Pelodiscus sinensis: one gene and its partner. The main gene of each other region encodes a partner of the protein of the gene in region 2 in a complex. Links are inferred from orthologs where the notes say so. Each region holds a gene or a part of one and is shown on either strand. Other genes may lie near its edges.

The links.
Region 1: the proteins of MUS81 (region 2) and EME2 are in contact, whole or in part, in a crystal structure (PDB 7F6L), measured with the Homo sapiens proteins. The link is inferred for Pelodiscus sinensis from reciprocal best matches to the Homo sapiens genes MUS81 and EME2. Residues at the interface, in NP_079404.3 of Homo sapiens: His330, Glu351, Phe354, Lys357, Arg358, Arg363, Val365, Glu381, Leu385, Gln386, Thr389, Asn390, Gln392, Val393, Ile394, Phe398, Lys400, Arg401, Tyr411, Leu414, Leu415, Arg417, Gly418, Leu419, Arg421, Leu422, Pro447, Ile464, Lys467, Ala468; in NP_001244299.1 of Homo sapiens: Glu140, Arg177, His179, Glu220, Glu221, Val224, Leu225, Gln227, Leu228, Trp229, Asn231, Leu232, Asp233, Leu235, Arg245, His246, Ala249, Val250, Lys252, Ala253, Leu254, Gln256, Tyr257, Lys260, Gln261, Glu264, Gln266, Phe268, Phe270, Cys271.

Annotation. Positions count from the first base shown.
Region 1 is NC_134726.1:460,580-472,194, reverse strand, and holds the start of EME2 (structure-specific endonuclease subunit EME2), read left to right. Parts: upstream 1-6,202; 5' UTR 6,203-6,377; exon of another isoform or gene 6,378-6,656; 5' UTR 6,657-6,670; coding exon 6,671-7,178; intron 7,179-9,489; coding exon 9,490-9,626; intron 9,627-11,255; coding exon 11,256-11,348; intron 11,349-11,615. Other genes in the region: MRPS34 (small ribosomal subunit protein mS34), read right to left, coding at 911-1,194, 4,956-4,998, 5,600-5,917. UniProt on the Homo sapiens protein: Non-catalytic subunit of the structure-specific, heterodimeric DNA endonuclease MUS81-EME2 which is involved in the maintenance of genome stability. In the complex, EME2 is required for DNA cleavage, participating in DNA recognition and bending.
Region 2 is NC_134721.1:32,559,860-32,571,474, forward strand, and holds the start of MUS81 (structure-specific endonuclease subunit MUS81), read right to left. Parts: upstream 6,002-11,615; 5' UTR 5,754-6,001; coding exon 5,619-5,753; intron 5,402-5,618; coding exon 5,272-5,401; intron 4,807-5,271; coding exon 4,661-4,806; intron 4,403-4,660; coding exon 4,316-4,402; intron 4,132-4,315; coding exon 4,051-4,131; intron 3,781-4,050; coding exon 3,692-3,780; intron 1,457-3,691; coding exon 1,298-1,456; intron 940-1,297; coding exon 805-939; intron 585-804; coding exon 457-584; intron 202-456; coding exon 89-201; intron 1-88. UniProt on the Homo sapiens protein: Catalytic subunit of two functionally distinct, structure-specific, heterodimeric DNA endonucleases MUS81-EME1 and MUS81-EME2 that are involved in the maintenance of genome stability.

The DNA of each region.
Region 1 (11,615 bases), on a different chromosome or scaffold from region 2:
GGAGATGCCTCTATTAGGGATGTTAAATGGCATTTAATCAGCTAATCAATAGAATTTTCATCAACTAGTCAATTAGTTGATGGGGGGGAGGGGTAGAGCTACAGTGGGGTTAGTTCGCAACCCCGGGAGCTAACCCTGCTGTGGTTCTGCCTTTTAAATGTATTAAGAGCCATCTAGCTCTTAATACATTTAAAAAGCACAAGTTCAGCAGGGGGGATGGAGATGATGCTGGGGAACCAGCTTTTAAGCCAGTTTGCCCAGCATCGGCTCCTATTCCACCCCCTTGGTGCCTCTCTCTGAAAGAGAGGTGGGGGGGAAGAAGAGAAGGGAGTGACCAGTTGAGTCACTAGCCAACTATCAGATAAGCATGTGTTTATTGGATAGTCACATAGTGGTTAGGGATGTATCAAGGCAAAGGGTTCTAAAATTGAAATTTAATTAATATGTCTGCTAATGGTTCACAAAACAGACTAGAATCCAACTCATGTCTTTGGAACTGTAGTAGCAGGATAAGAGAAGCTTGAAGGTGCCATTTTTAGAGTCGTCATTCTATTATTGTAGGCCCAAACTTTGAGAGCATCCTCTCAAAAGAGTCTCATTTGCGGTCTGCCTGCACACCTGGACACATACGCCGCACCAGAAAAGGCAAGGAACAAAAAAGGGAGGGCCCTCTGCGAATGAAAGACCACAAAAATCTTGAGTATCACTACATCTTCTGAATATATACAAGAAAGTTGCACATTTGGATGTGAAACGTATTGAGACATCAACATATTATACTTTAATACATTGAACCAGAAGTGGGCATGTGGCTTATGGTCCTATTCTTCATTAAGGAGAATTGTATGCGCAATCAACACAGAATATTAAAAAGCCTTTCAGATGCTCCAACATGTACAGCTCTAGACCTTCATACTGGTGTCCCCTTAGCTTTTTTCTGATTTTTAAAGTAGTCGTTTGTGAAGATGATGATTTTCTCCAGATCAATCAGTGGTTCCTGTGTGTCAAGTTTTCCTTCCTTCTGCCTTTGTGCAAGGATCATGGCACGGAGAAGGGGGGGATATGGCACATACTGAATGATTTCCACTGACACTGGAGTAAATTTCTTGAAGCACTCCTCTTCATGTTTGGGCACCATCCGCCAGTCATGATACATCACCTTGTCAATCTCTTTCACTTCATTATATGTCTTGCCTAAGGAAAGATGATGAACAAGTAAACAATACTATGAACAAACTCCATAATGAGGACTATGCCACTGCATTATCTCCAATGCCTCAGCTCGGCATAGTACTGGATATTTTATGGGAGTTGTATCTACTACAGCAGTGGTCCCCAACCTTTTTGGGTGGTGGGTGCCGCGCGTGAAGCAGGCGCCCGGTGTGGGGCCGTGCATGCGCCGGGCACCTGGGGGTGGCGCTAGGCAGGCACACATAAATGCCCCAGTGGGCACCACATTGGGGACCCCTGTACTACAGTACGCACTCCCACTACAAGTTGTATAGCAGATAACACAGGCAACTGACAGAACATCTGGATTATAGTCCTGACACTGCTCTTGATCACTTGTTAGCTTGACCAAGTCATTTCGCCTCTCTTATTCAGTTTCCACAACTCTATACTTTACAGGGATGTTGGGGAGTTTAATTCATTAATATTTATAAAACACTTCAGATGGAAGAGAACCGATTTGTCGGACTCCATTTCCTTGCCAACACAGATTGTCCACTATGACAGAGTCTCTAGGGATTCCTTCAAGTTACTTTTGTAATTTAAAACGAATTGGACTTTTACTATTTTCCTTGTGAAATAATTCTACAGTGGACTAAATCAAACTGTTAGGAAGTTTTCTTTTCTTGCTTTCATTTTATTAGGTTGGGTGAGTGAAAAAGGGGAGCTACCAGTGGAGGCGGATTGCCGAGTGACAAGAAAGCCAACTTTTTCCTCCTGAATAATCCAATTATCTGTAGGAGAGAATGCAGGAAGAAGCCCAGCAGCAGAGTGGGGCAATCCTGTTTATTGCACCCAGTGTAATTATCATTACCTGCCCTATGGACGGGTGGGGCATGTGTGCATTCGGTGAAAGGAGCTCCTGGCCCTCAAAGACCACGTGCTTTGGAGGCCAGGGTGGATGAATTGGAGGAGCTAAGGAAGGCACAGAGGTACGCAGATGAGGCTTTCCATCTCTAGTCAGACAGCCCCTGTGCTGTTAAGGAGGTTGAAAGGCTCAGGGAAGGAGAACAGTCAACTGGTGCAGAGGGAAATAATCCCATAGTTGGAATCTTCCTTCCAGATGATGTTATGGTATCCTCTTGCACTGAGGATACCTCTCCAGGGGAGGGAACTTCAGTCATTAGGAAAAGGCAGGTGCTAGTAATGGGGGATTCAGTCATTAGAAACTAGGGCTTATCAAGCAATTAAAAAAATGTAATCACGATTAAATGTGCGCCTCCCCTTTGAAACGCAGCCGCGGCCTTTCAACAGGGTAGCGCTGCATGGAACCCGGGATAAGCTAGAATCCCCCGCTGAGCCCGGGCTCCTAATGTGCTGCATCTTTGAAGCGCCGGGGCAGAGTTTCCAAGGGGCAGCACAAGGCAGAGGCCGGGGTCAGCTGGAGTCCCCAGCTGATCTTGGGCTCCATGTTGCACTGCCCCTTGGAAACACCACCCCAGCGCCTCAAAGGGGCAGCACATTAGGAGCTCAGGATCAGCTGCAGTGTCCAGCTGATCCCCAGCTCCACATTGTGCTGCCCCTTTGAAGCACCAGCAGCGCCACATGGAGCCGGGGATTAGCTGGGCCCTCCAGCTGATCCCCGGTAGGGAAGTTAAAGACTAGTCGACCCCCCACCACTTCCCTTTGCTGCCTCTAGAGGCAGCAAAAGGAGGGGGGGGAGTACTTCAAAGGCAGCATTTCAAAGGGGCATCCATGGAGCCCTGGGTCAGCTGGGAACTCCCCGGAACCCGTGTGTTTCAAAGGGGCAGTGGAGCCCGGGGTCAGCTGGGAGTCCTCACTTGATCCCATGCTCCATGTTGCGCTGCCCCTTTGAAGCGCTGCAGCGGCACTTCATCACATTAATCGCAGGCATTAATGAATGTCAATTGACAGCCCTATTAGAAACAGAGAGAGCTGGGTTTGTGATGACCGGGAGAACCGTATGGTGACTTGCGAAGGTTGCGGATCTCTCGAGACATCTAGATAGACTTATATGTAGAGCTTGGGAGGAGCTGGTGGTCATGATACATGTAGGTACCAATGACAGAGAAGGGTAGGAGAGAGGTTCTAGAGGCCAAATTTAGGCTGCTAGGAAAGAGATTGAAATCCAGGAGCTGTATGGTAGCGTTCTCTGAAATGCTTCCAGTTCCACACGCAGAACCAGGTAGGCAGGCAGAGCTTCAGATGCTCAATGCGTGGATGAGATGATGGTGTAGAGAGGAAGGGTTTAGATTTATTAGGAACTGGGGAAACTTTTGGGATAGGGGGAGCCTCCACAGGAAGGATGGACTCCACCTAAACCAAAATGGAACCAGACTGCTGGCACTTAATGTTAAAAAGGTTGTAGAGCAGTTTTTAAACTAAGGGGTGGAGGAGCACATGAATCAGACAGGGGGAGGGTCTATTAATAGGGGGAGGGTCTATTAATAAAGATTCTCTATGTTCTAGTCAGGAATACAGGATGGAAGTATAGGTCAGATCAGATGAGGCAAAGAGTCTAACATAGCAGGAAATACTTAAAAAACAACAAATAACCTAGCAGCACCTTAAAGACTAACAAAAGATGTAGATGGTATCATGAGCTTTCGTGGGCATAGAAGAACCAGTGGGACCCTTGGATGATCGAGATGCTAAAGGAATACTCAAAGATTATAAAGTCATTTCAGAGAAGCTAAATTAATTCTTTGCTTCAGTCTTCATGGCTGAGGTTATTAGGAAGATCCCCAAACCTGAGCCATTCTTTTTAGGTGACAAATCTGAGGAATTATCCCAGACTGAGGTGTCAGAGAGGTTTTCGAACAAATTGATAAACTTAACAGTAACTGGGACTAAATGGCATTCACCCAAGAATTCTGAAAGAATTCAAATGTGAAATTGCAGAACTATTAACTATGGTTTGTAGGCTATCCTTTAAATTGGCTTCTGTACCTAATGACTAGAAAATAGTTAATGTGATGCCAATATTTAAAAAGGGCTCTAGCACTGATCCTGGCAATTACAGACTGGTAAATCTAACATCAGTACTGGGCAAATTAGTTGAAACTATAATAAAGAATGAAATTGCCAGACACATAGATGAACATAATTTGTTGGGAAAAAGTCAAGATGGTTTCTGTAAAGGGAAATTGTGCCTTACTAATCTACTAGAGTTCTTTGAGGGGGTCAACAAATATGTGGAGAAGGGGGATCCAGTGGATATAGTAGACTGATTTCCAGAAAGCCTTTGACAAAGTCTTTCACCAAAGTCTCTTAAGTAAAGTAAAAGTTGCTATAGAGTAAGAGGGAAGGTCCTTCTATGGACTGATAACTGGTTTAAAAGACAAGAAACAAAGGGCAGGAATAAATGATAAGTTTTCAGAGTGGAGAGAGGTAGTCCTGGGACCCATCCTATTCAACTTAGTTATAAATGATCTAGAGAAAGGGATAAACAGTGAGGTGGCAAAACGTGCAGATGATACCAAACTGCTTTAAAAAACGGTTAAAAAAAAAAAAGCTAGATAGCCATTGATGGACCTAACCTCCATGAAAGCTAGCTAGGAAGGGTAGAAAAGGTATCATGTGATAATTACCTGTTCTGTTCCCTCCCTCTGGGGTATCTGGTATTGGCCACTGTTGGCAGATAGGATACTGGGCTAAATGGACCTTGTGTCTGACCCAGTTTGGCCGTTATGTTGGCCCCTAGCCCTATACGCTAACTTTTGTCTCTAATCCTGCTTGTGAGGCATGCATCAAGCTCTATTTACCTCTGAATGTTAGGTATCCCCAGGCTTTCCCATGATCCAAGTTCTGCAAAGAAAAAACAAAACAAAAATGTGCTCAGTTCACTTAAAGAACCAATGCTATTCACAAGGAGAAACTCCTTTTATAGTCTTACTACTCATGAGCCACAAAAAGTGAGTTGATGTCAATAACTGCTAATTGTGGCTACTAGTGTTCTTCTAGAATACTGAACAAATGCCATTATACAACCTGTGCAATTAACGTTGTGATAAATAATGCAGTATAATTTGTCTGAGTACTATATACTGTCTGCTCTCAGTTCTATAATGACTCAATACAAATACAGGTCCCCCACTAAGGCCCAGATCCTTACGTACGTGCATAATCTACAGCACACACACTACTAATCAGCGTGTCTCGGGACGTTCCTGCGGTGTCTGCAGTGCTCAAGCACTATCCTAGTCTCTCTGATTTTCATTACACGGTGCCTCCTCTGAGGCAATCCGTGCTCTGGTGCTTCCCGGGCGCACACGAGAAGAGGGTCGGGAGTCTGGCTCCGGGGCCAGGCAGCGAGACTGTGAACGCTGCGGAGGCGGTTGAATCGGGCGCGACGGTGACCGGGGAGCCAGCTCCCGGGCAGGGCCGCACGCCCCGGGCCGGCGCTCACCTCGGCGGTGTAGTCCACCCGGACCCTGGTGATGAGCCAGTAGCAGGGCTCCTCGTACTGCCAGAGCCAGGCCTTGCGGGTGACCATGCGGCCCAGGCCGAAGAGCGGCCGCTGGCAGAGCAGCGCGAAGAGGCGGCTCTCGCGCCTCGCGTCCTCCCAGGCCAGCACGGGCAGGCGCTTGCCGGTGAAGGGCCGGGCCATGGTCTCGTAATCCAGGGCGAAGCGCTGCGAGTCGCGGGGCCGGCTCTTCAGCGCGCGGTACTCGCGGATCTTCCTGGCCAGGGCGGCGATCGGGCGGTGCAGCTTCTTGCGGGCCATGGCGCGGGCTGGCGGCGCGTCCCCGCCTGGATCCGACCCGGACGCTCTGCGCCGCGCGGTGCCTCCCTCGCGGGCTCGGGGCGCGGCCCCGCCTGGATCCGACCCGCCGGGCCCTGGAACCTGCCGCGCGGCGCGGGGCGGGGCCTCCCTCGCGGGCTCGGGGCGGGGCTCGGGGCGCGTCCCCGCCTGGATCCGGCCCGCCGGGCCCTGGAACCTGCCGCGCGGCGCGGGGCGGGGCCTCCCTCGCGGGCTCGGGGCGGGGCTTGGGGCGCGTCCCCGCCTGGATCCGGCCCGGACTCTCTGCGCCCCGCGGCTGCCGCCCTCGCGCGCTGGCCCGGCTCGCTCAGCGGCAGGAGCGCGCAGCCTTCGCCTCCCCGCGACACCTCCGGGTGTAGGGGCCTGCTCTGCGGAAACACTGGGATCCGATGACTCGCCAGGCCAGTTGCTTGCTTGGTAGTTGGTGAGTTTGTCAGAGCCGGTCCGGCTGGTGTGGAGTTCAGAGAGTGCTGGACTCAACGTGAAAGCTACATCCTATCGCTGAGCTGCTTGTTTGTCCTAAGCTAGATTTTACTAACCATGAAAGGAAATTCTATTTTTAATGATTCTTACTTTATTTGCAATTAAAATAAATAAAACGAACCTGAACAAAGGGTAAATATTTTAAAAATAAATGTGTACTAGTGCTTTATATATTAGAAATTGGCATGGAATATCAAGTGACTCTGCATTTTCTAAGCAGCCTTTTAAGCAACAATGGTAATTAGAAACGCAGAAGAGAAAAATAAAACCATGGAGGAAAAGTCGAAGAATCAATCCAATGGCAAAATCAACAGGTTTTTCAAAAGAGCTGCTGCCTGGGAAATTTCAGATTCTGATGCAGACAGTGATATTGAATCACATCAAACAGAAACTGTTACCCTGATGAACCCAACTGCTGACACACTGGATCATGGCATTTGTGATCATGCTGTACAAGAAGACCTGAAAAGCTGTCTGAGTGCTAGTGAGCCAGCTTCTCCTCAACAAGTAGCTACATCCTCTCCAAGCCAAAATATAATGAAGAGAATTCCAGCAGATATAAAGGCCTGTCAGGCAAGAGCAGAATCAAGGAAACTTAAAAGGGAAATCAGAAAGACAGAAAAAGAAAGGAGAAAAGCACAGGAGGTACTAGAAAAACAAAGGCGAAGGGAAGCTTTTGATACTTTGAAGCTGCTTCGACCAGACCAATGTCTGAAGTACATGACTGTCTGCATAGACCCAGGTAGACAATCTCTGAACTAGCTTTAATTTTTTTTCTAGTGTTTATTCTAAGGATCTCACTGTGCTAATACCACTTTCTACTATGAAGGTGGAGATTAATTTAAACTGGGAGGCACTGCTCTCTCATGGCACGTCTACATTACAAAATTAGGCCAAATGTATTGAAGTCAACTTTTAGCATTTGATTTTACAAAGTCGAAGGTGCATGTCCTCAGTAGGCAAATGAAGTCAACAGAATGCAACCCCACTACCAAAGCTACCTTCAGCCATACTAGCAATACACTGTGGGTAGCTATTCCACCGGTTCTGCAGCCCATTTGAATTAGGTGCCCAATGCCTGATGGGACAAAAATATTGTCATGAATGGTTCTGTGTACGTCAGCCTCCCACAATGTATTTCTCTCCTTCCTCCCTGTTTAAAAGAACAGTGCACTACTAGTTAAGCTAACAGAGTAACTGATTCCAGGAGAAGGCTGTATCTTCAGTTGGACTTGCCAGTAGAGGGGGATGGAGATCCACTTTGCTGGTGGGTTTTACAGCTATTTTCCGGACAATAGAGGAATGCTGAGATTCAGGAATAATAGGTTCAGTTGCAGGCTTTGTAAGAGAGCATTCTCTAGTGGTTATATTTTATTGGTAACTCTTCTGTCTGGGTCTTCTCCAACTTTTCTGTTAACCCTCCCCAACTCAAGCCCCTTTCACCTCCTGATGCTATTCTTTCTAGTTCCTGCCTGTTTTCCTCCCAGTTTCGGCCAATATCCCCTATATGCCTATCTTCCCCTCCTACTCTGCTCCTGCCTCTGTCCCCTCTCTTTTTTCTCTCCCCTCTGCATTAGAGTCAAGTGGGTTCCTCTCCCTCCTTTTTGCTGGCTGCCAGCAGGGGAAACAAAGCTTAGTTCCTATGGCACAGTGTCCCACAACAGTTGCAGGTCAGCAACAGACAAAAGGCAGCATGCTCAGTTGTTCCACAATGATGGCATGTGCGTAGGTCATTGGCATGTAGGAGCAGTGAGGAGATGAAGCATGCTCAAGGCAGATGGAATCTTTGGACATTCTTAGGTGCTAAACACAGGCAAGTCTCTCCTGAACATGTGCTAATTGTGACTTTTTTGGAGGTTTATGACTTGGGCAGATTAGGTGAATTTTCACAGGATAACAAAAGGCATGTCCATCCCTGACACGTAGAGTAACTCTCTTACAAAATTTCAAGTCCCTGTGATGAAGGATGAGGACATACAAGCATCCCAATTAAAATGGTTATAGGAACATTTCTAACATGGGTAAACAATGCATTTTTCCTAGTTTTGTTCTTGGAAGTGTCTAAACTATTTTTGCTGAAACTTCCCATTATAAAGTCAGTTTGAGACAGACTCCAGAGGTGGAAAATTTCATCTCCGTATGCTTTAAGATTGGCAAAGTTACAAACAACTGTAAATAGGGTCTTTTAACAGGAAGAGTAAGGCAAAATTAATTGTAAGTGCCCCTGCATGTGCTGGTTGTAATAAACTGTGTGCTGCAAATTTCTCTATGAGATAATGCGGTGATATGCAGCATACTGCTCTATTCAGTATTCAAGCTTGAAATAATCATAAGAACAGCCATCCTCGGTCTATCTAGCCCAGTACCCTGTCTTCTGACAGTGGCCAGGGCCAGGTTCCCCAGAGGTAATGAACAGAACCGGTAACCATTACGTGATCCAACCTCTGTTGCCCATTTCCAGCTTCTGGTCAGCAGTGGCCAAGGACACCATCCTAGCTAATAATTATTGATGGACCTATCCTCAGTGAATATATCGCATTTTTTTTAAATCCTGTGACAGACCTTCACTACATTATCTGGCAAATAGTTCCACAGGTTGACTGTGGATTGTGTGAAGAAATGCTTCCTTTTGTTTGTTCCAAACTCTGCTCTAGTAATTTCATTTGGTGACCCCTAGTTCTTGTATTATGAAAAGGAGCAAACAATACTCCCTTATTTACTTTCTTCATATTCAGTCAGGATTTTACAACAATCATTTCCTCTGTGTGGCTTTTAGTTACTGTTTATTACCACTCCCTTTCCTTCTCTGAGGTCACTGCCTTGGCAGTGGAGCCAAGGCAGGCCCACCCCTGCTCTGGCCCCACAACCACCCCCAGAAGCAGTGGCTCCATGTGCTGTCCTCCCGTCCACAGGCACCAGCCCCACAGCCTCCACTGGCTACAGCTCTCCATTATTGATCAATGGGAGCTGCTGGAGTGGTGTCCACAGGCAAGGACAGCATGTGGGTAGAGACCCCCTTCTCTGACCTCCTCAGGGGCTCTCTTTCCCCTCAGGTCTATTAGAAGATCCTGGGTCAGATGCTTTGATGAAGGCTTTTGATTCCTTGGAATGTAACTACTACATTGAGCCTCAGGAAGTGCCCTGCAGCATAACCTGGAGGCGAAACACTCCTAACGGTTTCTCCAGTGTTGTAAGTATCTGAATCCAATCTGTCCTCACTCTCTGGAGGGCTTCCTCATCTGCTTTATACTTTTAAACTGATAACAGCTATGCTGTGGGAAAGGAGCTTTGAATTGCATTAATTATTAGTGCGGGCATTTCCACTTGTCTTTCTGGGCGGGGCTACGGGGTCATCAGTCTCAGGTCACTGGTAGCTCAGGGAATGGACTTGAGTCTCATTGACCTATAGTTTATTTCTGAGTGAGTGACTTTCATGCAACTGGTTGTCATTTTCTCAAACACATACACATCCAGGAAGGACTGTGAATGTCTGCAGCCAAAAGGATGGAGGTCAGGGGAGCCATTGATCATGGAGAGGTTTCAGATAACTAGTTGAAAAAGATTTCTAAAAAGAATTCTGTGTCTGCGAGGCGTCCTTGATGGCCAATGATGATTTGAACTGCACCACTGGGGAAAACAGTAGGCTCCCTTGCTACTAAAGGAAGCCCGTGAGCTCTTTAGAAAATCCTGTGGCTGTTTCTGAATGCAGGCTGTTGGAAATCCTAAGGAGTGAAGTTACCTTCTGTTTGATGCCAAATGAGGAATGTTGCAGATAAACTGCAATGGTCAGTGCAGCACCATTGTTTATTCCCATGTCCATTACAAGGATTTCAGGTTGCTGAGTTGAGAGCAATCCTGTACTTTGATGACTGGTTGTCTGAGTAACCCTTTAAATGTTCAGAAGCTTCAGGGGGTAGCCAAGTTAGTCTGTACAGTGTACAAGATACATTTTAAAAAATGGTCTGGTAGCACTTTATAGACTAACAAAGCATGTAGATGGGATCATGAGCTTTTGTGGGCACTGCCCACTTCTTCAGATGACCAGAGTTTTAAATGTTTTGGGGTATAAGAGCTGGCTGGTGCTGTAACTTAGTGTTTCTCAAACTTTTTTTTATACAAAAATTTTTATACCCCTTTTTCAAAAAAAATAATTATGAGTAGTCCCTTTAAAAAAATACACACACACACACACACACTCAGACACACACATTTTTTTTCTACCATTGCAACACATTTGTTTAAATAACTTAATTGTAGCTGGGCAGGCGATGATATTTTTGGGTGTAAAAAGTACAAAAATAATAAAGCGCTGTAAAACTTAAAACAAAAATTAAGTTTTCTCCAAATTTCAGTTGTGTTAACGTACCCCCCCCCCCCGACTTCTCTTGCGTACCCTTAAGGGTACTCATACCACTGGTTGAGAAGCACTGCTGTAACTCACTGATATGGTGTGCAGTGCAGATGTAGTGTGAATCTTTTGCTTACTTTCTCCCCTTGATGGGGTCTTCCCCTTTCTGAATATCTCCAATGAACTAAATTAGGTGATAACACAGGCTGCAGTACAGCCAAGTCCAGTTTGAACATCTCTATCTAGGTTGATGAATTTTGTAGGTGTCCTGCTCTGTTCTCTGCACCCTCAGTGCTCTGTATTTATGTTATCTGCCTTTTACAGGTCTAACTTCAGCCATTACGTCATTCCATTCCAGATGGTATAACTGGGCTGAGACCTGGCAACTTAATTTCATTTTGGGCATGCTTGGTTTCAAGAAATGAAAAGTGATTGCCTAGATCCTATCAGAAGTTGTTTCTGTTCCCCTAGGATGATACCCTGGTGAAGTCCGAAGAGGAAAATGAGGTGGTGCTGCTGGTAGATCCAAGGGACTTTCTCAAACGTCTTTTGTCTGTAACTCAGGTAGAGTACATTTTCAAATCTGGGTCTAAAGAGAAGTCTGGGGAAAGCTGCCTTTTAACAGTAACACAAGTGGAAGGGAGTTATTCTAGAGTTATATTACAGAATGCACAAATGTGAATAGAGAGCTGTGGAGTAGAATATACAAAGCCTGTCTGAGCATAGTGCATCTTATTGAGCAGAGCAGTGGAAGTTCTGACAGACTGTTGCTTTAGCCAAATCCATCACTTTGTATGTGTTAGTGTTTGCATACTCAGAGCCATGCTTCAA
Region 2 (11,615 bases):
GAGATCCTTATCCTCCACCCAGACAACCCCCAACTCCCCTTCTCGATCCTCAGCTCCCCGCCCCCAAGGCAGCCCCCTTCCCCCACACCTTCTGCTCACGGAAGCGCCCGTCGATGATGCTCCCACACAGGTCAGCCATTCGCTTCCGCTCCACCACGTAGTCCAGGACTAGCTCCCGCACTGGGCGCAGGTGCAGCTGCCCTGGGGGTAGATCGGGCTCAGGAGGGAGAGAGCAGGACCCCACCCCAGCCCTGTGTAGCCAGAATGAGGCAATCTAGGTGCCATGAGGCTCTGCTCCCCCATAACCCCCCACTTGGAAGTGACGTTCAGGGACACACACCCCAGTACCGTGTATCTGCATGTGTGGGGCTGGGGTAATGCCCCACTACATGTATGGGGGGTGGGGCCAGTCACACCTGAGGAGCGCTCCCTTGCTGCTGGCTGGGCAGCTCCTACCTGGGCAGGGCTGGACCTTCTCCCGGGCGACCCACACAAAGTCCCCCACGTGCAGCTTGCGCACGTCGAAGGGCACGGTGTTGCGGCGCAGCTCAGCCAGCAGGTCCTGCTTTCGAGCCCCAGGGCCTCTGAGGGGAGAGATGAGGTGGGACTGGGGCAAGCTCAGGACCCCTGCAATGCCCCAACCCTCCAAGACACTGTGAGTGACCCCCCGTTACCCCACATCTCATCCCTACAGCCCAGCCTACCTGGAACACCCCATAATCATTCCTGCTCAGGACCCCTAACCACACTCCCTCAATACACCCCCTACACCAACAGCACCGCAGCTCAGGGCCCCCAACGCACCCCATGGTCTCAATGAAATCCACACACAGGATGATGTCAAACTGGCCGGGTCTCAGTACGAATTCAGGGTCATGGGGTCTCTGCACTCCAGAGCCACCCGCTGCCCTCTCCTGACATCCCAGGGCGCCATCGAGCCTGCAGGAAAGTGGGGCAGACAGCACAATGAGAGCAGAGCCATGGAGAGGGGCCAGCAAAGGTAGGGAAGTCCTGTTCCACCCCCCAGCCTCCCAAGAGCACATGCTGGGGGAAGCTGGGAGTCGCTGCTACAGTGAGCAGCAACGCTCCCTTTGGCTGGGTCTGGAGAGACCAACCAGCCACAATGAATGGAGGGAGGGCTCCAACCACTAGACCCCACTTCCCTCCCAAAGCAAGGACCCCGCAGTTCTGACTCCCACCACCTGCACTCCGACCTGCTAGACTCCAGTCCTGCCCCAGTGTTGCAGGAGTCCTGCCCCCTCCCTGGGGGTATACCCCGCCTCAGGCAGGCACTCACAACTGGGGCTCCAGGCATAGTGTCTCCTCTGCAGCAGGATCTGGGGGTTGGGCACCCTGGGAGATCTCAGATTCTGGGGCTCGATCCTCTGAAATCGGAGCCTGCTCTGCAGCCACAAGCCTCTGGGCTAGCGCCAGCCCCTGCGCTGTCAAAGAGAACCTGCGGGGAGCAAAGGGCATCTGTACAGTGTCCCGTCTGCCGCCCTGCTAAACCCTCGCTCCGTACCCACAGCCTGGCACTTCATGCCGATCCCCGGCCCTGCAGCACGACACTCCTACTGAATCCCTGCCCTGCTCCCTAGCAGACCTCCAGGCAGCACAACACCCTCTGCTGAACCCCCCACTGGGCCTCTGGGAGCGCGTGGGTACAATCCAGGCACGCTGAGCAGGATCAGGCACTCGCTGCCTGGCTCCTTCCCATGCGGGACGCTCCCTTGAGGTGCAGCCTTTCACCTGTTGGCCCCCATGGCAGGCAGATCCCCAAGGCCAGCAGCGAAGGGGTAACAGCACCAGGCTCATTCCAGCCAACAGACTGGCCCCCCAGGAAAACTGGGTCATGGGGAACACGGGGGGCAGAAGCAGCCTGGGCAGCGAGGTCACCTGGCTGGGCCGGGCTCGCCTGGGGCAGCTGATGTCAGGGGACCCTTTCACTGGAGGCTGGACAGTTATAAAAGGGGGGAGCTGAGCTCTTGGGAGGCTTGGGCCATTTTCAGCAGTTCCAGCAGAGGGAGAAGCCTTGAGGCAGAAGCCTTGTCAGAGCCCAGACAGGTCAAGGCCTCCCCAGGGAAGGCGGAGCTAGCGGTTAGTGCTGTGGGCAGGAGGCTGGGTCTGAGCTCTGTGCTGGGTGTGAAGAGGTAAAGAGAGCACAGCAGGGGAGTCTGGGAGGTGTCTGACACCTTGGGGCTCCTGCAAGCACTGAGTTGCACCCAGAAGGCTCACCCCTCAGGACAGGGGCTGTCTGCATGGTGATCAGGCTGAGGGGCTGTGCTGCATCCAGGTACTAAGCTCACAGGAAGAGCTGCACCCCAAAAGAGGGACAGGGCCTGGACACAGGTGAGGCTCAAGTAACAGGGACCCAGAGGCCGGATTCTCTTCCCTGTCGGCCGGCCGAAGGCAAGCACATGCCCAGTAACACAGACTAGGGAACCAGCTTATGACACTCATCCTAGTGTAGAATAAGCTGCAAGATTTGCAGGGGGAGACAGAGCAGTGATGTTTCAGGCAGGTATCCTCCAGCAGACCAGGGTGCACCAGCCTAGCTGTCCACCAGGTGGAGACAGAAGGCAACTTTCCCATCTCCTTTCAGTCATGGGGAAAAACTGCCCACCACCTGGAACATGCTGCCCTTGGGGGGCTTCAGCTGCCCAACAGCCCAAGCAGCAAAGGGTTAGGGAAAGGCTCATGCAATCACAGTGTCTGATGCTTCCCCCATGCCCCCAGTGGAAGAGGTTCTAGACAAGGGGATGCTTGCCCCCTTGGCACCATGGACCGCACCAAGGGCAAGAAGGGGGTGCCAGGTGCTTTCACCCCTCACCAGGACTCTAGAAGTCCCTGGATTTACCTCTGGCCTAAACAGAACCTGCCACCTTTCAGTGCCTAGTCGCTGAGTTACTGAAGGGAATGGAGGACTTTGGCCTTTTGATCCACCCCATGGCCTGTCCCAGTGAGACTCCAAGACAGAGTCTTTGCCTGCTGCAGCCCAAGGCTGCTCAAAATGGCTGGTAGGTCCCTTTAGGTGCTGTGCACCCCTGGTGGGCAAAGGGAGCTGCAATGATTGGGCTGGAGGCAGCGCACAAATTCTCCCCTCCCCGCAAGGGGCATGTGGTGCCCTCACCGTGTGCTGCTGCCTCTGATACAAGGGCAAGGCAGACAAATGGCTCCCACGGGAACAAAGGAACAACCTGTTAAGGGGCTGGTTTGAAGGTTGCTCCTGTGATCAGACAGGATGCCCGCATGGGCAGAGTGAAGATGGAGCTCAGAGAACCAGAATGTGGCAAAGCATTTGCTGCTACCAACATGGACTCTTAAGTGTGGCTTTCCCAGGCTGCTGGAGAGCCCTGCGACACTGGATCCCAGGTGACGACATTATGCTCCCTCAGCCTGGCCAAGCTGCCCAGCTTCCCTACAGACCCTGGCGTCGCTGCAGCAAGCTCAGGAGAGACCCACACTGAGTCACTAAGGCTGCCTGGCTGGCAGCTGCCCTTAAGGAAGGTGTGGGCCTCTGGGCACTGGGGTTACGCCCAGGAGACTGGGTAATGGCCAAGGTATGCCCACAAAAACCCACAGCAGCACACTACTCCCTGCTGAAGCCCATTCCCCACAGCACAGCACCCTTCCAAAGGCCAGCACTCCCTCCCGAACCCTGAACCATGCCTCCTGCAGCACAGCACCCTACCTGGCCGGTACATTGGTTTTCAGCACCAGCTCTTTGCGGATCAAGGTGCCCACCGATGCCCAAGCTGTGTACCTATTTCCCGGGTCACCCTGCAAGACACAGATACCCCATGTGACTCTTCTGGGTGGGACCTGCTTGAGCCGGAGGGCAAGACTGGGGGAAGTAGAGGCTGTAGGGAAACTTGAGGGGGTGGGGTGGAGTGATGGGCTCAGATCTCTATGGCAGGACTGATGGCTCATCAAGACTAACACTCCCCCAATAAGAGGTGCCTGTCATCAACTCCAAGCCTCCTGAGGAATGTTTGATGGTGCTGGACTGAAAGGGGCCAGCTGGGGGACGCCACGGCAGCTCTCACTCACCAGGGTGAAGGATTTGTCACACAGCGGCTGAGCTGCCCGTTGCAGCTCAGGCTTCGTCAGGAACCCCCGGCTGTGTGGGCTCTGTAATGGGGAGCAGGGAAGTCAGCAGTGGAGAGAGAACATCGGAAGCCTGGCTCCAAACCCCACTTCCTTCCCAGTGCTAAGAACAGAACCCAGGGATGCCGGCTCCCAGCCCACTGCTCTAGCCATTAGACCCTACTCCCCTCCCAGAACAGGGGCATGGAACCCAGGATTCCAGGCTTACCATGCTGTCCTTGTAGAGGGCTAGCAGCACAGCATAGCCCCCAGAGCGTGGGGCTGGGACGTACGCCCGGGCTGGACGGTGCTTCCTCTGGAAAGAGAAGTGAGAATCAGCAGGGTCCCCACTCTGATCTCCTCACTGTACCGACGTCCTTCCAAGCCCCCACCTGTCCCTGCAACCCACAGGGACTTACCCAGCATCTCAGAGAGCCAGTTCCAGGGCTAGAACCCAGGAATTCTAACTCCACCCCCCTTCCCTAACCACTAGACCCCCCCACTCTCTTCCCAGAGCCAGATAGATCCCAGGAGACCTGGTTCCAAGCCCTTCTGCCAGAGGCTGTGCTCTCACCATCGGGGGAGGCTCCCGGTCCACAAGTGAGTCCTGTGAGGCAGAAGGGTCATCGGGGGAGTGGTGCTCTGTGCTGGGGGGATCACTTTCCTGTGCTCCCATGGAGGGGCTGGCCCCTCCCACAGTTTCAAAGAGCACCTCTGCACCTAGGGTTCAAAAAGAAATAAGTTAGGTGCTCCCTCAACCAGCCAGTCCCCCTACCCTGGGCCCGGATTGGAGCCTATGCCCCCTAAAGGACAGGTCCTTTCTCCTATTCCCAGCCTCCCTCAGCCAGACCATTCCCCCACCCTCCAGCTGGAGACATGGGGGGGACTCCTTCCAGGGAGCAGACTCTCACTTGTTAGGCTCAAGGACAGGCACCATGGGAGGGAGGGGGAGACAATACCCTCCCATTTAATATGAGAGACCCTACAATAACAAAGCACTGGCATTTGATTTCAAATCTGCCACAGTTGTTTAGGATCTTAAAGATAGTGGAACCTGCTATCTAGGACCACTGGTGCACCTTATGCCTTCGTGTGGCTGCCTGCCCCCTGCTCATCATCCTTCAATTCATGCCATCCTGGGGACCCCTCAGCCCTGGTACCCCATCCCTGGTGCTCTGCACCTACCCTCCTCAGCTCGGTGCTTCTCCAGCTGCTCGTCCAGCCTCCGGCAGATCCCATCCCCAAAATGCTGTAGAATCGCAGCCTCACGCCCACTGCGCAGGGGCAGCGGGTACCTCCGAAGAGAGCTCAGGGCCTGGCAGAGAGGAGATACTGACACAGGGAGCCTCCAGCTCATCCTCCCCCAGTGTGATCCCAGCACAGGAGCCAGGACTCCTGGGTACCGTGGGGGCTAGCGAGATAGAGCAGGGGGCTGGGAGCCAGGATTCCTGGGCGTTAGTCCCAGCTGGAAAGGGAGGGGAGTGATGTGCAGTGGTCAGAGCAGGAGGGCAGGTCTGGGAACCAGGACTCACCCTCTCATACACGAACTGGGTCTTCCTGCCCTTCTCGGCAGCCTCATCCCTCCACTCCGTCAGCCACCGCACGAAGAGCGGGTTAGGGCAGGCGGGCACCGGCTTCTTCCGCCCCAGCCGCCGTGGGGCCGCCATCCCGCAGCCGAGCTGGGCAAGGAGCAGCGCCCCCGCCCCCAGCCCCGGGACTCGCAGCCTCGCTCCTCTAGGGGGCGCCGGCTCCGATCCAGCCCGGGGGGGGGGTCCCCCTCGCTCGACCTCTGCCCCGGCCGGGGGGGGCCCTGGTGACTCACGCTTCACGGGGGATGACAGGCCACGCCCCCTCCCGGACTCATGGGTTCCCCCGAACCCTCCGCCCCCAACCCGGGAGCGATTCCCCCCTTTCCCTTAGCCCCGCCCCTCGCAGCTGGGCATCGTAGAGCGCGGACACTCCCGGGCCAGAGCGTCCGCCGCGTGGGGAACTCCAGCCCCCCCTGGCGGCCCGAGGGAGACGCGCAGAGCCCGCACTGCCCAAAGCGCTGCGGGTGCCCCTCGGAACAGAGCGAGCAGCTGGGCGCTGGCGGGGCGCCTGGAACTCGGGGCTGGGGTAGCAGGAGGCCGCGGGCCGGGAGTGGGGGACACAGGCAGGGCTGGGGGGCTATCCCAACCCTGGGAGCCAGAACTCCTGGGCTCTACTCGCAGCTCAGAAAGGGAGGGTAGTGAGGGGTAGTGTGCTCACTACAGAGCAGTGCCATAACTAGGTATTTTTGTGCCCCAGGCAAAATATTAATTATGTGCCCCCTCTCCTCCAAATTAAAAAATGTCTCTAGTTTACTAATTATGTATCTTTAAGTCAAGAAAAATCAACTAAATCAACAGTATAGTAATATAACAAATATATTTTCAATATTAGGAACATGTTTTATAATGTCTATGAATGGAAAAGTGTTGTAGGGGATCAAATACCTATGCCAAGCATTAGCACCAAAATACCTTTAATATTTTGACGCAGCATTGAGTGTGTTGACAGTGTATTCGCATGTACGTGCATTGAAAAACCACTGCATCCACTGTGAACTGTTTTCTGTATTCAACATTGGTAATGCTGTAAAGGCTCAATGTGCCCAACGCTCCGTGTAAATTCAGCTTAAAGTGAAGCAAGCTGAAGCCTGCTGCCTCTCAAGAAAATGTGTAAATGGAGACTTTGCGAGCCTTTCAGCATGACTGTTTCGTTTCCTGTCAGGCCTCGAGACAGGCTCGTATAAACTGGGACTTAGGTTAGCACATGTTGCACTCTTTACTTTTGTATCTTATTATTTTTACTTATTGCATCTTTGTGCCCCTGATTATGATGTGTCCAGGGCAAGCGGCCCACCCTTGTTATGGTACTGCAGCAAAGGGGCTGGGAACTAGGACTCATTCTACGTCTACACTGGCATGATCTTGCGCAAGAACTCTTTTGCAGAAGAGTTCTTGTGCAAAAACTCTTTCCAGAAGAGAGCGTCTACACTGGCATGTGCGTTTGTGCAAGAGATGTGCTTGTGCGCAACAGCATCCATGCCAGTGTAGACGCTTTCTTACGCAAGAAAGTTCTGCTGGCCATTTTAACCATGGGGCTTTCTTGTGCAAGAAATTCATGTTGCCTGTCTACACTGGTCTCTTGCGCAAGAACAGTTGCGCAAGAGGGCTTATTCCTGAGCAGGAGCATCAGAGTTCTTGCGCAAGAAGCACTGATTTCATACATTAGAACGTCAGTGTACTTGAGCAAGAACTCACGGCCAGTGTAGACAGGCAGCAAGTTTTTGCACAAGATCACGCCAATGTAGACACAGCCATGAGGTGTGGGGGGGTTGGTTGCAAGAGGCTGTGGGTAAGGAGTGAGGAGGACTGGCAGATCTGGGGGGGTTTCTGTGCCTACAGAGACTAGTGGCATCTCTCCCTTTTAGCTCCTTGTTTAGCTTTCCCCCTTCTTGGCAGTGTAGTGAGAGCGCCCCCAATCTCAACCACCAAGCAGGAGGGTCAGGTAGCACTGTCCAACCCCCATCCTCCCTGGCCAGGATATAGGGCCAGTGGCCCCAACCTTTCCAGAGCCTTTCAGGAGTCTTGATTTGTCTTCTTGTGTAGCCCCAAGTTTCCCTCACATATAAGAACATAAGAACAGCTGTACTGGGTCAGACCAAAGGTCCATCTAGCCCAGTATCCTGTCTACCGACAGTGGCCAGCACCAGGTGCCCCAGAGAGGATGGACCGAAGACAATGATCAAGTGATTTGTCTCCTGCCATCTCTCTCCAGCCTCTGATAAACAGAGGCCAAGGACACCATTTTATCCCCTGGCTAATAGCCTTTTATGGACCTAACCTCCATGAAATTATCTAGCTTCTCTTTAAACTCTATTATAATCCTAGCCTTCACAGCCTCCTCTGGCAAGGAGTTCCACAGGTTGACTACACGCTGTGTGAAGAAGGACTTTCCTTTATTAGTTTTAAACCTGCTCCCCATTAATTTCATTTGGTGTCCTCTAGTTCTTCTATTTAGGGAACTAATAAATAACTTTTCTTTATCGGCCCTCTCCACACCACTCATGATTTTATAGACCTCTATCATATCCCCCCTCAGTCTCCTCTTTTCTAAACTGAAAAGTCCCAGTCACTTTAACCTCTCCTCACCTAAAAAAACCTGCTTTCTTACAAAATCGGATATAAAAATACAGAAGTGTCACAGCACACTATTACTCAGGAAGGACAGACAGGGAAAAAAGGGAGGAGGGGTTGCCTTGTATATTAAAAATGTACACACTTGGACTGAAGTGGAGATGAATGTAGGAGATAGCTGTGTAGAGAGTCTCTGGGTTAAGCTAAAAGGGGTAAAAAATGAGGGTGATATCATGCTAGGAGTCTACTACAGGCCACCTAGCCAGGTGGAAGAGGTGGATGAGGCCTTTTTTAAACAATTAACAAAACTATCCAAAGCCCAAGATTTGGTGGTGATGGGGGACTTCAACTATCCAGACATATGTTGGGAAACTAACACAGCGAGGCACAGGCTATCCAATAAGTTTCTGGACTGCATTGGAGACAACTTTCTGTTTCAGAAGGTTGAAAAAGCTACCAGAGGAGAAGCTGTTCTGGATTTGGTTTTAACAAATAGGGAGGAACTAGTTGAGAACTTGAAAGTGGAAGACAGTATAGGGGACAGTGATCACGAAATAATAGAGTTCATGATCTTAAGGAAAGGTAGAAGGGAGACCAGCACAATTGAGGTAATGGATTTCAGGAAGGCAGATTTTGATAAGCTCAGAGAACTTGTAGGTAAGGTCCCATGGGAAGCAAGACTGAAGGGAAAAACAACTGAGGAGAGTTGGAAGTATTTCAAAGGGACGTTGTTAAGGGCCCAAAAGCAAACAATTCCGCTGTGTAGGAAAGATAGAAAATATGGCAAAAGACCAGCTTGGCTTAACAAGGAGATCTTGCATGATCTCAAAATAAAAAAGGAGTCATATAAAAATGGAAACTAGGACAACTAACAAAGGATGAATATAGGCAAGCAACACGGGAATGCAGGGACAAGATTAGAAAGGCAAAGGCACAAAATGAGATCAAACTAGCTACAGGCATAAAGGGAAACAAGAAGACCTTTTATAAATACATTAAAAGCAAGAGGAAGACCAAGGACAGGGTAGGCCCACTGCTTAGTGAGGAGGGAGAAGCAGTAACAGGGAACTTGGAAATGGCGGAGATGCTCAATGACTTTGTTTCGGTCTTCACCGAGAAGTCTGGAGGTGTGCCCAATGTAGTGAATACAAGCAGAGAGAGGGTAAGTTTAGAAGATAGGATACACAAAGAACAAGTTAAAAATCACTTAGGAAAGTTAGATGTCAGCAAGTCACCAGGTCCTGATGAAATGCATCCCAGGATACTCAAGGAGCTGATAGAGGAGGTATCTGAGCCTTTAGCTATGATCTTTGAAAAATCATGGCAGACAGGGGAGATTCCAGAAGACTGGAAAAGGGCAAATATTGTGCCCATCTATAAAAAGGGGAATAAGAACAACCCAGGAAACTACAGACCGGTCAGTTTAACGTCTGTCCCAGGGAAGATAATGGAGCAGGTAATTAAGGAAATCATATGCAAACACTTGGAAGGTAATAAAGTGATAGGGAATAGCCAGCATGGGTTTGTGAAGAACAAGTCATGCCAAACTAATCTGATAGCTTTCTTTGATAAGATAACGAGCCTTGTGGATAAGGGAGAAGCGGTGGATGTCATATACCTAGACTTTAGTAAGGCATTTGATACGGTCTCGCATGATATTCTTATTGATAAACTAGGCAAATATAACGTAGATAGGGCCACGATAAGGTGGGTGCATAATTGGCTGGATAACCGTAGTCAGAGAGTTGTTGTTAACGGTTCTAAATCCTGCTGGAAAGGGATAACAAGTGGAGTTCCTCAAGGGTCTGTTTTGGGACCCGTACTGTTCAATATCTTCATCAATGATGTAGATATTGGGATAGAGAGTACGCTTATTAAGTTTGCAGATGATACCAAACTGGGTGGGGTTGCGACTTCTTTGGAGGATAGGGACATAATTCAAAATGACCTTAGCAAGTTAGAGAAATGGTCAGAGGTAAACAGGATGAGGTTTAATAAAGAGAAATGCAAAGTGCTCCACTTAGGAAGGAACAATCAGTTCCATACATACAAGATGGGAAGCGACTGTCTAGGAAGGAGCATGGCGGAAAGGGATCTAGGGGTCATAGTGGACCACAAGTTGAATATGAGTCAATAGTGTGATGCTGTTGCAAAAAAAGCAAATATGATTCTAGGTTGTATCAACAGGTGTGTTGTAAGCAAAACTCGTGAAGTCATTCTGCCGCTCTACTCTGCACTAGTTAGGCCTCAGCTGGAGTACTGTGTCCAGTTCTGGGCGCCACATTTCAAGAAAGATGTGGAGAAATTGGAAAGGGTCCAGAGAAGAGCGACAAGAATGATTAAAGGTTTAGAGAACATGACCTATGAAGCCAGGCTTCATGAACTGGGCTTGTTTAGTTTGGAAAAAAGAAGATTAAGGGGGGACATGATAGCGGTTTTCAAATATCTAAAAGGGTGTCACAAGGAGGAAGGAGAAAATTTGTTCCTCTTGGTTTCTGAGGACAGGACAAGGAGTAATGGGCTCAAAGTGCAGCAGGGGAGGTTTAGATTGGACATTAGGAAAAAATTCCTAACTGTCAGGGTGGTCAAATATTGGAATAAATTGCCAAGGGAGGTGGTGGAATCTCCCTCTCTGGAGATATTTAAGAACAGGTTAGATAGACATCTGTCAGGGATGGTCTAGACAGAGGCTTGGTCCTGCCTTGAGGGCGGGGGGCTGGACTCGATGACCTCTCGAGGTCCCTTCCAGTCCTATGATTCTATGATTCTATACTGAACAATTGCTGACTTTCTCATTTTTGCCATACAATTTAATTGGAATGTAAATATTGTACTTACATTTCAGTGGTTGGTATATAGAGCAGTATAAACAAGTCATTGTATGAAATTTTCATTTGTACTGACTTTGCTAGTGCTTTCTATGTAGCCTGCTGTAAAACTAGGCAAATATCTAGATGAGTTGCTATACCCCCTGGAAGATCTCCCAGGATACATGTCCGCTGCTAAAGGGTTTTTAGACTGGCTGGTAAGAGGTTAAGGGAAGCAGCAGAATATGTGTGACAAGAAGGATGTACATATTGGCGAGTAGATTTATGATACAGCTGGAGCCTTCAAGGCAGGGTGACCATATTTCCCAAAGGACAGAGTATGGGCCTAGACTAAGTGCCTCCCCAGACTCCCCTCCCAGGACTGGCCCAAGCTGCTGGTTCAAGCACATGTGAATACATCCCCATGGTGCTGGCTGGGGCTCCTCACCCAAGCTGCCTTCCCCTTGCACACAGCTGGGGCTAGCTGGGGTGATGGCTTGTCCAAACCCTGCCCACCTCCTCCATGGCTGCTTGTTTGAGCCCTGACTCCTCCCCAGTGTGC